3 linked regions of the Macaca mulatta genome follow. The protein of the gene in region 2 purifies or fractionates together with the protein of the main gene of each other region. This does not show direct contact. Links are inferred from orthologs where the notes say so. Each region holds a gene or a part of one and is shown on either strand. Other genes may lie near its edges.

What was found.
Region 1: the proteins of JUN (region 2) and CREB5 purify together in Homo sapiens (affinity purification with mass spectrometry; 5 studies listed by BioGRID and IntAct, counting the BioPlex papers as one, with this or other methods). This does not show direct contact. The link is inferred for Macaca mulatta from reciprocal best matches to the Homo sapiens genes JUN and CREB5.
Region 3: the proteins of JUN (region 2) and COP1 purify together in Homo sapiens (affinity purification with western blotting; 9 studies listed by BioGRID and IntAct, counting the BioPlex papers as one, with this or other methods). This does not show direct contact. The link is inferred for Macaca mulatta from reciprocal best matches to the Homo sapiens genes JUN and COP1.

The regions. Positions count from the first base shown.
Region 1 is NC_133408.1:99,536,237-99,539,886, reverse strand, and holds part of CREB5 (cyclic AMP-responsive element-binding protein 5), read left to right. Parts: intron 1-1,100; coding exon 1,101-1,328; intron 1,329-3,650. UniProt on the Homo sapiens protein: Binds to the cAMP response element and activates transcription.
Region 2 is NC_133406.1:181,865,334-181,869,083, reverse strand, and holds JUN (transcription factor Jun), read right to left. Parts: upstream 2,789-3,750; 5' UTR 1,805-2,788; coding exon 800-1,804; 3' UTR 472-799; downstream 1-471. UniProt on the Homo sapiens protein: Transcription factor that recognizes and binds to the AP-1 consensus motif 5'-TGA[GC]TCA-3'.
Region 3 is NC_133406.1:33,619,879-33,623,528, reverse strand, and holds part of COP1 (E3 ubiquitin-protein ligase COP1), read left to right. Parts: intron 1-1,453; coding exon 1,454-1,530; intron 1,531-2,344; coding exon 2,345-2,464; intron 2,465-3,650. UniProt on the Homo sapiens protein: E3 ubiquitin-protein ligase that mediates ubiquitination and subsequent proteasomal degradation of target proteins.

The sequences.
Region 1 (3,650 bases), on a different chromosome or scaffold from region 2:
ATGTAAGTGTATGATAATGCACAAGCAACTCTCACTATCTCATACACACAGCGTGTGACAGGGCTCAGTGCTGCTTCAGGCATCGATTTAACGCTTTCAAAGGCCCAGCTTCCCAATCACCTAGAAAGCTCTCCTGGATCTCCTTTCACCCTGGTGAGCCCTCTGAGGGGCAGGCAGGCCCAGGTGGAGTGTGCAGGTCCGGCTAGTCCTCTGCATTAAGAACTGTGAAAGAGTCACAATAGGATTTCACCTGCCTTCCTGGCTTCATGGGCTTCTTTTGATAGGAGCCACAGTGGCAACGATGTCCCAGAGGTATGTTAGCAACACAACTTTACCACTATTAGAATGAAAGGAGCCCACAACCTGCTCAGAGGTTTTCTGCAGATGACAGTTGAGTCATCCATATTGTGATAATAACCCTGACCTTTCTGTTTTCACCCTGTAGCCATACATTGGCTATTTTAAAGTTGTTTGTTTTTGTTTTTGTTTTTTAGAGACAAGGTCTTGCTGTGTTGCCCAGGCTGGAGTGCAGTGGCACAATCATAGCTCATGGCAACCTCGACCTCCTGGGCTCAAGCAAGCTTCCCACCTCAGCCTCCTGAGTAGTTAGAACTGCAGGCATGCACCACCATGCCTGGCTAATTTTTCCATTTTTTTTTGTAGACACAGGGTCTTGCTATGTTGCCCAGGCTAGTCTGAAACTGCCGGCCTCAAATGATCCTCCCGCCACACCTGACCCTTACTTTAAAGTTTTTAAACACACCGTCAGTAAAACATTTTTAATAGCTGAAGGAGAAAAATAAATGTTTCCTCTACCATGATTCGGCTAAATGCCTGTCAGGGAAAAATCCATCTGACTACATCTTTTCACAAGTCATTCCTATATCTTGCCAACACATCACAGAATATATAGGTCAGTGATGCTTTTTCTTTTCTGAGTGTGATTTCATCATTTATTTCATTCATAGGAGGCAAGTCTCATATGCTGACTGAAGGGATAGACTTTCTGTGCTTTGCATTTCAGCATCAGCTTGGGTTTCTTCCCTTACCTAACACGTCCTTCCCTATCCCCATCACCTCCTCCCTCTCTGTCCCAGCAGGTTTCACCAGCAACACAACAGATGCAGCCAACCCAGACAATACAGCCACCCCAGCCCACAGGGGGGCGCCGGCGAAGGGTGGTGGACGAGGATCCCGACGAGAGGCGGCGGAAATTTCTGGAACGGAACCGGGCAGCTGCCACCCGCTGCAGACAGAAGAGGAAGGTCTGGGTGATGTCATTGGAAAAGAAAGCAGAAGAACTCACCCAGACAAACATGCAGCTTCAGGTGCAGCCCACGGTGTCTTTCCCCGGGACTCAAAGGCCCTCTGCTCCGCGGGCATTTCCGGCCCCGACAGGCACTTGTTGACCTAAGCAGTGATGCCACACACTTAGTCCACAGAGGAGCCGCAGCCTCACTCCTCGAGCTTTATTAATTCCGGGACACTCTACAAAACAAAATTAACCGTTCAGTTTTTCAATCAATTTGCCCACAGAGCTCTGAGAAGGGGGGACCTACCCAGCTAAGTTGTAGGCTGGGAGCACAGGCTTTAATCCGACAGAGATCCAAACCCGGTTCAGCAATTACTTGCTAGGTTTAACTCGCTGGCGCTCTGTTTCTTCCTCTATAGAATGGGAATCATAACTTTATAGAGTTGTTACATTAGGGGGAATAAACAAACTAATGTCTCCAAAGCAGTTGCCCAGTGCCTGGCCCATAATAAACCTTCAACTGAAAAGGAGCTGTTCGTTATATTCACTAGGTTGAGGGGGTTGCCTTGGCTTATACTTGGTTATCTCTATTTTTGTTTCACATGAAAGAAAGAAAGGTTTATGGTCATTATGTAGCTCTGAAAGAAAAGGCATGTTTTCATCTCATTTGCCAACTCACCAAGATTTGAATCTTGCATAATTTTTGCTTTTTATGAATGGCTTCACTGGGGAGATTTTATAATGAGGCCCAGAAGTGTCTGGGCGTGTCTAAGAGAAAAGGAAGAAACTCTAGTACCCGGGCTTCTCCGGCAGACTTTATAGTTTATAATGATGTAGTTCAGAGCATTTGTTCTAATGTTAAAAATATGTGCACTATTTATCAGCAGAAAAAAAGGCAAGTAAATAGACACGTATGTGACCCACAGTCCAGGGATAGCATTAAGAGTTGTGGATTATACTCCAGTGCTTCCAGAAGCTGAGAGAATGGCCAAAGAGAGTGGGGCAGGGAGGAAAGTACCCTACATAGGGAGACTCTGCACTTTAAGAGTTCATGGGGTCTGGGTGCAGTGGCCCACACCTGTAATCCCAGCACTTGGGGAGGCTAATCACTTTGGGAGGTGGCGGGATCACTTGGGGTCCGGAGTTTGACCAGCCTGGCCAAGGTGCAGAAACCCTGTCTCTACTAAAAATACAAAAAAAATTTGCCGTGGTGGCTCAGGCCCGTAGTCCCAGCTGCTCAAGAGGCTGAGGCAGCAGAGTGGCTTGAATGCAGGAGGGAGAGTCTGTAGTGAGCCAAGATCGCATCACTGTACTCCAGCCTGGGCAACAGGGTGAGACTCTGTCTCAAAAAAAAAATAAAAAATAAAAAAATAAAACAGTTAATGGCTAGGCATTGGTAGGTTACTTTCATCTTCTTCCCACACCTAGTTCTCTGTGCATCCTTAGAAAGGAACAGTTAGGGTGCCAAACCCCAAAGCCTTTGCATATTCAGTTTCATTAAATGGAGATGGCTTGGGGCTTCCAGTGTACAAATTGAAAGTATATAAGGAAAGTGTGTGTTGTATGAGGGCCTGAATTTCATAATTTATGGATGTTCATTTTTCCCCCTAAATGTGTCATTCTTTTTGTGATAGACATGATGAGCAAGAAACTGCGAAACATATAGCAGATGTGAGGAAAATAAGATAATGATTCCTGCACTAACTTGCATGCTGCGGGAAGATTGGGACTGTCTCTTGCTACTCCCTCCGCCCACTATCTATCTGCTGTTTATAGTGTGGTGTCTACACTCAGTAACTTATTTGTTGAATAAATGAATGGGTTCCCCTGTTTATAGTATAGTGTCTACACTCAGTAACCATTTGTTAAATAAATGAATGAATTCCTCATTGCTGGAGTGTCTAAGAATTGGCTGCTTGACTACTTGGCAAGGATGTGATTGCAGGGAGTCAAGCCACCAGAGAAATGGCTGGACTCAAACACCTTTAAAACCACTTGTAGAATCTGATAGGCACAGTAGTATCTGAGAAACTTTTAGGTAGAATGTGGTTAAGCATTTTTCTTTTTTGAGACAGAGCCTCACTCCATTGCCCAGGCTGGAGGGCAGCTTACTACAGCCTTGACCTCCTGGACTCGAGTGTTCCTCCCACCTCAGCCTCCCGAAGTGTACATCACCATGCCTGGCTAATTTTTTTTTTTTTCTCTAGAGACAAGGTCTTATTATGTTACCCAGGCTGGTCTCAAACTCCTGGGCTCAAGCAACCCTCCAACCTCAGCCTCCCAAAGTGTTAGGATTATAGGTGTGAGCCTCTATGCCAAGCCAAGCATTTTTAATATTAATAATCATATTTTAATTTTGATGTGTATTGAAAAATGTAATTAGAAGATCAAATCTGCA
Region 2 (3,750 bases):
ATAGCTAGTATCTATAGATGATGCAGAAAAGAGGTTAGGGGAGTACTTTTCAATAGTTTATTGTATTTTCTTAAATATCCTTTCTGGAATTTTCAGAAACAAAACATAAAAAAATTATATACTTTATTACAAATGGTAAACTCAGAGTGCTCCAAATCTCTTATTTACAAACAACACTGGGCAGGACACCCAAACAAACAAACAAGAAATAACTTACAAAGGCATGAAGCTGTTTATTGACAGTAATCAGCTTTCATCAAATTAAAAAATATATATATGTACATACACAGTTAACGAAGGCAGGCCAGAAAGAGTTCATCTGTAGGCTCAGCCTCGCTCTCACAAACCTCCCTCCTGCCGCCCCTCCCCAGCCCTCCCCCCCGCTTTGTGTTCTTAATGAGTACTACAGAAGCAATCTACAGTCTCTATTGCAGTTTGTAACCCCCTCCCCCTCCCCCCTTTAATACTGAATGAGATCGAATGTTAGGTCCATGCAGTTCTTGGTCAATGTTAACGAAAAGTCCAACGTTCCGTCCGCGCGGGGACAGCCCGTCCGCAAAGCGGGGCAGCCCGCAGGCGGCCGCTCCCTGGCTCCACGCCAAGGGAGGGCGCGCCAAGTCCTTCCCACTCGTGCACACTGGGGGCGCCGTCAGGACGCAACCCAGTCCAACTTGGATACCCTTGGCTTTAGTTCTCGGACACTTCTTTTTTCTCTCCGTCGCAACTTGTCAAGTTCTCAAGTCTGTCTCTCTGTGTTATTTTTTTTCTCCGTTGCCCCTCAGCCCCCAACAGTCTCTCTTCAAAATGTTTGCAACTGCTGCGTTAGCATGAGTTGGCACCCACTGTTAACGTGGTTCATGACTTTCTGTTTAAGCTGTGCCACCTGTTCCCTGAGCATGTTGGCCGTGGACGCCAGCTCCGAGTTCTGAGCTTTCAAGGTTTTCACTTTTTCCTCCAGCCGGGCGATTCTCTCCAGCTTCCTTTTTCGGCACTTGGAGGCAGCAATGCGGTTCCTCATACGCTTCCTCTCCGCCTTGATCCGCTCCTGGGACTCCATGTCAATGGGGGACAGGGGCGGCGTCTCGCCAGGCATCTCGGGCACTGTCTGAGGCTCCTCCTTCAGGGCTTGCAGCCGCGGGTGCTGCACGGGCATCTGCTGGGGCAGGTGGTGCGGCGGCTGCGGCGGCGGCTGCTGCTGCTGGGGTTGCGCGGGAAAGGCCAGGCCGGCCGCGCCGTAGGAGGGCGCCCCGCCGCCGCTGCTCAGCGCGCCTGGGTTGAAGTTGCTGAGGTTGGCGTAGACGGGCGGCTCGCTGTGCAGGCTGGCGCTGAAGCCTCCGCTGCCGCTGCCCCCTGCCACCGAGGCTACCGCTGGAGCTACCATGCCCGCCCCGCTGACCGGCTGCGCCGCTGACGTGACGCTGGGCAGCGTGTTCTGGCTGTGCAGTTCGGCCAGGGCGCGCACGAAGCCCTCGGCGAAGCCCTCCTGCTCGTCTGTCACGTTCTTGGGGCACAGGAACTGGGTGGGGGTCGGCGTGGTGGTGATGTGCCCGTTGCTGGACTGGATTATCAGGCGCTCCAGCTCGGGCGACGCCAGCTTGAGCAGCCCCACGTCGGGCGAGGTGAGGAGGTCCGAGTTCTTGGCGCGGAGGTGCGGCTTCAGGCTCCCCACTGGGTCGGCCAGGTTCAGGGTCATGCTCTGTTTCAGGATCTTGGGGTTACTGTAGCCATAAGCTCCGCTCTCGGACGGGAGGAACGAGGCGTTGAGGGCATCATCATAGAAGGTCGTTTCCATCTTTGCAGTCATAGAACAGTCCGTCACTTCACGTGAGGTTAGTTTGGGCTGCGTGCTGAAGTTTCGGGGCCGCAACAGCGCTCTGGCAAGCGGGGGACACCCGTGCCCCCCGGGGCCTTTGGCAGGGAAAGTTTCTCTAAGAGCGCGCGCACCCGCTGGTTGTCGTCCCCGCTGCGCCCTCCTCACCAGCTCGCTCCAGGGAGCGCAGGGTTAATTAAGATGCCTCCCGCACTCTTACTTGTCGACTCGCGCGCGCGCTACCCGGCTTTGAAAAGTCGCGGTCACTCACTGAGCGCTCTTCGGGCGCCGCCGTTCCTTGGAGTCCGCGGGCGAACTCGCTTCCCAGAGCAGCGGCTCTCCCGGCGGCGCGGATCAGTGCCGACCCGCAGAGGCCGACCAGCGGCGGGTCTCGGCCGCCCAGACTCCGACGACTTGTCCCCTCCTCCGCTGCGAGGGGGAGGGGGCGCCCGGCAGCCGCGGCTCGCGCTCGCCCAAGTTCAGCAACCGGTGCGAGCGAAGCTGAGCGCACGTCCTTCTTCTTTTGCGTGGCTGTCCGCCGCCTCCTGGTCTTTACCGCCGCCGAATAGCCTAAGACGCAGGAAAGGCTTGCAAAAGTTCGCTCCGGGACTCTGGGCCAGTTGTCTCCGGTCCTCCGGGCCGAGAAAGTTCTTTGCTGCTGCAGTCGCTCGCCGACTTCCCCCGGCGGGCGCGTGGGTACCGCTGCTCGCCACCGCTGTCAACAGCGCCTGGGCAGCAGGGCTCTCCTCCTGGGGGCGGCTGGAGACCAGGCTCTCTGGGCACTCCTCGTAACACCAGCCCGGGAGCCACAGGCGCTAGCTCTGGGCAGTTGGAGAGACGGTGGAAAAGAAAATAAGATTTGCAGTTCGGACTATACTGCCGTCCTGGCTGGCTGGTTGTGTCTGTCTGCCTGCCTGAGTCCGCGCACCTCCACTCCCGCCTCGCTGCTTCAGCCACACTCAGTGCAACTCTGAGCCCTTATCCAGCTCGAGCTCAACACTTATCTGCTACCAGTCAACCCCTAAAAATAGCCCATGATGTCACCCCAAGGCCTTCCCATTGGCTCGCGTCGCTCTCAGGGGGGCGGGCCCGCCCGTCACCATGGAGACTCCACCCTAGAAGATTCTTCTCTGGGCCCGCGGAGGCTCACGGGATGAGGTAATGCTCCGCTGCCCTCCTACAGTCGGGCCCTTCTTTCTCCTACCCTCCCCCCTGCCGCACGCCTCTCGGCCCTCTCTTCCCCGGTCCCCTCCCCGGGCCGTTTTTCCCGGCCCGCCCGGTGCATTGTGGGCTGACGTCTTGGGGTTTGACTGTCTAGTGACGGTGGCTGCCGCGAGCGGGCGGACGCTCGCAACATCTGACGGAGGGGGCTCAAGTTCACGGCTGCGGACTGGGATGCAGGGGATGCGGGGACCCGGGAGGCCAGGGAACCCGGCCAGTTGTTTTGGGTCAAGGGTGCGGGCGAGGGGTGGTTGTGTTTCCCCACTTGTGGGGCTCGAAGTCATCCACCGGCGTCCGCCACCGCGCGGGGCGGGAGGCTGAGAGTCCAGGTCCGCCGCCCCCCCGCACTTCCGGGGGGCGGGAGCGCCGCCCTTAAGGTGGCTCTGTGAAGTCCCAGTTGGGGGCGAGCCTAAGGGGGCTTAAGTTTGGGGGCGGTCTCCCGAGAGTCGGCCCCCCACGTTGAGAAACGCTGCGAAGTTTGCATCTCGGTCAAGTTCAGGAGGGATGGTCCGCGGGGTTGTCTGGCTGCTCTTAGAAGCTGAGAGATTTGTATTGCCCAAAACTGGACGCTCAGCTGAGTCTCCGTTGCACCCCACTTCATCCTCCGGGACCGTGGGGGAAAGGGCGCGGGGGATCACAGCTTTGCCTCCGAGGGGCAGTTTTTATAGTGGGCGCAATTAGTGGGTAACAGGGTCCAGATGGGAACAAGCGTGTAGGCG
Region 3 (3,650 bases), about 150 Mb from region 2:
CACACACACACCCCCTCTCTCACTTGAATTTTTCTTCACTCCTATTTTTGCTTAGTGAGTCTCTGTGTGCCTATTATGGCCCATTTCTAATGTTGCCTTCTATATGAAGTGTGCTTGTTAACATTTTGATTGATCTCTGTGTGTATACTTTGTAAATCTATTTTAATGATAGTACTGATTATCACATTATAAGTACTGTATCATATGAATCTGTCTTGCTTGTCTGAATTGCTTGAGGCCTTGTATTGTATCTTTGAAGCTTGGATCCTTATGAACTTGGTATCTGTTTGGTGTTTTCAAAAATATTTATACTTGCATTGTGGTATAGTGGGAAGTATCAGACAGTTGGGTCTATATTCTCAGTACTACTTCATTGTATATGTCACCATGCATAAGTTCCTTAATGCTCTCTGTGCTAATATTCATCTCTAATTGGGGAGAATAATCTGTAAGATATTGTCTATAAAGTGCCTACCTAGCCTAGTACTAGTTTCCCTTTAAAAAAAAAAAAATCAGTTTTTTGTGTCAGTTTATATTTGTTGGTTGTAGAAAAATTGAAAAATCCAATTTAAAGTGGTTAAACATTATGGAAAATGTATCGATTCACAGGAAAAGAATTTCTAGAGCTAGTTATCAGTGGTTCAGTGGTATTATCAGGTTCTTTCTGTTGTTCTGTTCTTCCATTGCCAGCGTATACCTTAGTCTTTTGGCTGGCTATTCTTGAGATTACAAGATGGCTCTGAGCAGTTTCAGATACCCCTTATGAAGGCATGGTTTTTTCTCCTATCCTTTTCTTTCTGAAAGATAGCACATCTCTCTTTGGTCAAAATTGGGTTACATACTTAACCCCACGTCAACCACTGGCAAGGGCATGAATGACTAGATTGCCTTAGGTTAGTCAAAGTAATACATGGGGTTGGGGTGAGATCTAACTTCTCTGAAAGTTATATGGCAGTCTGATACTTGGAAAAAAAGTCATGTTATTATCAAGAAAAAGAGTAGGATGGTCTTTGGATAGGTAACTAAAAGTGTCTTCCATGGCATTTTTAGAAAAATTACAAAGAGAAAGAACAAATGCAAGTCTTTAGTGCCTAGCTCATAGGAGATACTTAGTTACTCATGCCTTGTTACCATATGGGGCATGTGATGGTCTCATATGGTGAATGAGGATTTCTCTCTCAGGTGCCAGTAGCGTCATCATTGAGAAACTTGTAAGGGAAAATTCATATTCTGAAGAATTCTCCTATAGTAATAGTAGTTGTAGTAGTAGCAGCTGCAGCACAACTGTTTTCTAATTTGAAATAAAATAAAAAGCTAACACTTTCTGTTTAGCATGTTTTTAATTTGGAGGCTGTGTATAGGTAAAATAGAATCTATCTAAACTGAAGAATTACACAATACATTTAACAAAAATACAAATTATTTGTGCTTTTTATTTTGTTTCTGTTTTCAGTGAATGAACTCATTCTTAAACAAAAGCAAAGATTTGAGGAAAAGAGGTTCAAATTGGACCACTCAGTGAGTAGCACCGTATGTTTCAACTCTTATTACTATTTTTAATACATTTCATTTTGTTGTTTTTATTGGTTTAATATTAGTTAGACGTTAAAGTTTAATATATTATTGATTTTTCTTAACGGAGATTGTTAGGATTGTTCTAGTCAAATAACTTTCTTAACTGCATTATCTGTAATACTTTGCTAGAGTGCTCCTATTTTGAAAGGTCTGGTAGGATTATATTGAAACATTTGTCTTTTAATACTTGACATTTGAAGGATTGTATTGCGTGGTGAAACAATGGTTAGATATTTTCAAAAAAACTGTCGAGGCTGGGCTTATACCTGTAATCCTAACACTTTGGGAGGCCAAGGCTGAAGGATCACTTAAGCCCAAGAATTTGAGACTAGCTTGGGCAACATAGTGAGAGTCTGTCTATATTCAAAGAAAAACAAAAACAAACCTTTGAAAGATTCTCAATTTTAAAGGCTTAGTCCCAAATTTCCAAGGCAAATGAGCTTAATACCTTACTACATGCAAAATTGAAAATATGGCTAGACAAATAATTAAATTCAGTTATTTTGAAGGTAAATTACAGCTTTAGAATATTCTCGAATGCACCTTTTATATTTGTTATCTTAATTCATTTAAGGGAGAAGAAATAGTGTTTAAGTTATAACTAGAAGACAGTAGGGAGCCGCTAGCTAGGAAGGAGTAGTTTGGAACATTGCAGTGTGTTTTTGGTGTCTATGTAATGAGCATATTAGGAAGTAGCAAGTAAACATTTGTTTTAGTCTCTAAAACAGTCTTCTTAGGAAGTTGTTGTTTCTTCTTTCTTCATTTTTAGAATGGCCACAGGTGGCAGATATTTCAAGATTTGTTGGGAACTGACCAAGATAACCTTGATTTGGCCAATGTCAATCTTATGTTGGAGTTACTAGTGCAGAAGAAGAAACAACTGGAAGCAGTAAGTGGTAGCTAACCTTAAAAAATATTTTAAATGGTGAACTTTATTGCAATGAAAAAGATCTAAAAAATGATAGGATAGCTTCACTAATCCACTCATTTTTACTCAGCTAGAAACAGCTACAAAGTGTCACTTCTGCTAGATTCCCCCTTTTAGTAACTTAAAGAACAATTTCCATACATTATAACTTATTTGCAATGACCAGTTTTTATTAACAAAAGCTGAGTGTTAAAAATCTTCAGAAAGAAAAGTTTCATTTTCATAGGAAATAGTTTTGTTGGTCATTTGTCTTCTAATGAGTATCTTTCTTGCCATATCATCCCCTATTCATATGTGAGAGTTGGAGGAGAAATAGAGATTATTTTTATCTACATAAAATTCTTTCAGCAGGTGTCCATTGGTAGCAACAGTAGTGTATGGCATAACTAAGAGCATTTAAAGAGATCTGTACTAAATATATCTTATTTAATGTAATGTAAAATTCCATTTATTTTATGTAAATGTTAAAGATGTAAAATGTGAAATTGCAAGTGTTGGGAATTGAGTGTGATATAAGCAACACACACCTTAGCATAAGCAAATACTACCCTGAGGCTAAACATAAAGGGAGTATTTATTGACACAGTAAAGGAGTGAATAACACATACACACAAAAAGGAATAGTTGAACAACCAAACTTTGAGAAGATTAGAACCATGGCTTCTCTGGAATGCTACAAGTACATGAGATTAAGGATTTGAATGTTGTTGAGAGTCTTTCTTTTGTGCCCCTTGTGACTATTTGATTGGGACAGCTCTGATTTTCTTTTCTTACAGACTTCTTTATCACATGGTGGATAATAATGTCATTTGCACTCTTGGTTTATATGCATGTTTTTTGATAAAAGAAAAAAAAGGAGCTTTTGTTTCCAACTGCAGTTAAAAAATTTTTGTGGCTAGATTATGATTAACTTAGCTTGGATCTGGATCCCACTCACTGTGGTGGGGATCTGCTAGTAGGAGAAAGGTGTGTCAGGTTGAGCCAGCCAGGATGAGTTGTCTCCCATGTTGTATCTGTTTGGGAGGTGGGGTTCATGGGAATTTCTCTTACGGTTTTAACCGTAGTTTTCTATTAGCATCTGCTATGTGCCAGGGGTTGTGTTAAGGGCTGTGGACAAGCTAAAGTTCTGCTGTGTGCGTGTGTTTGT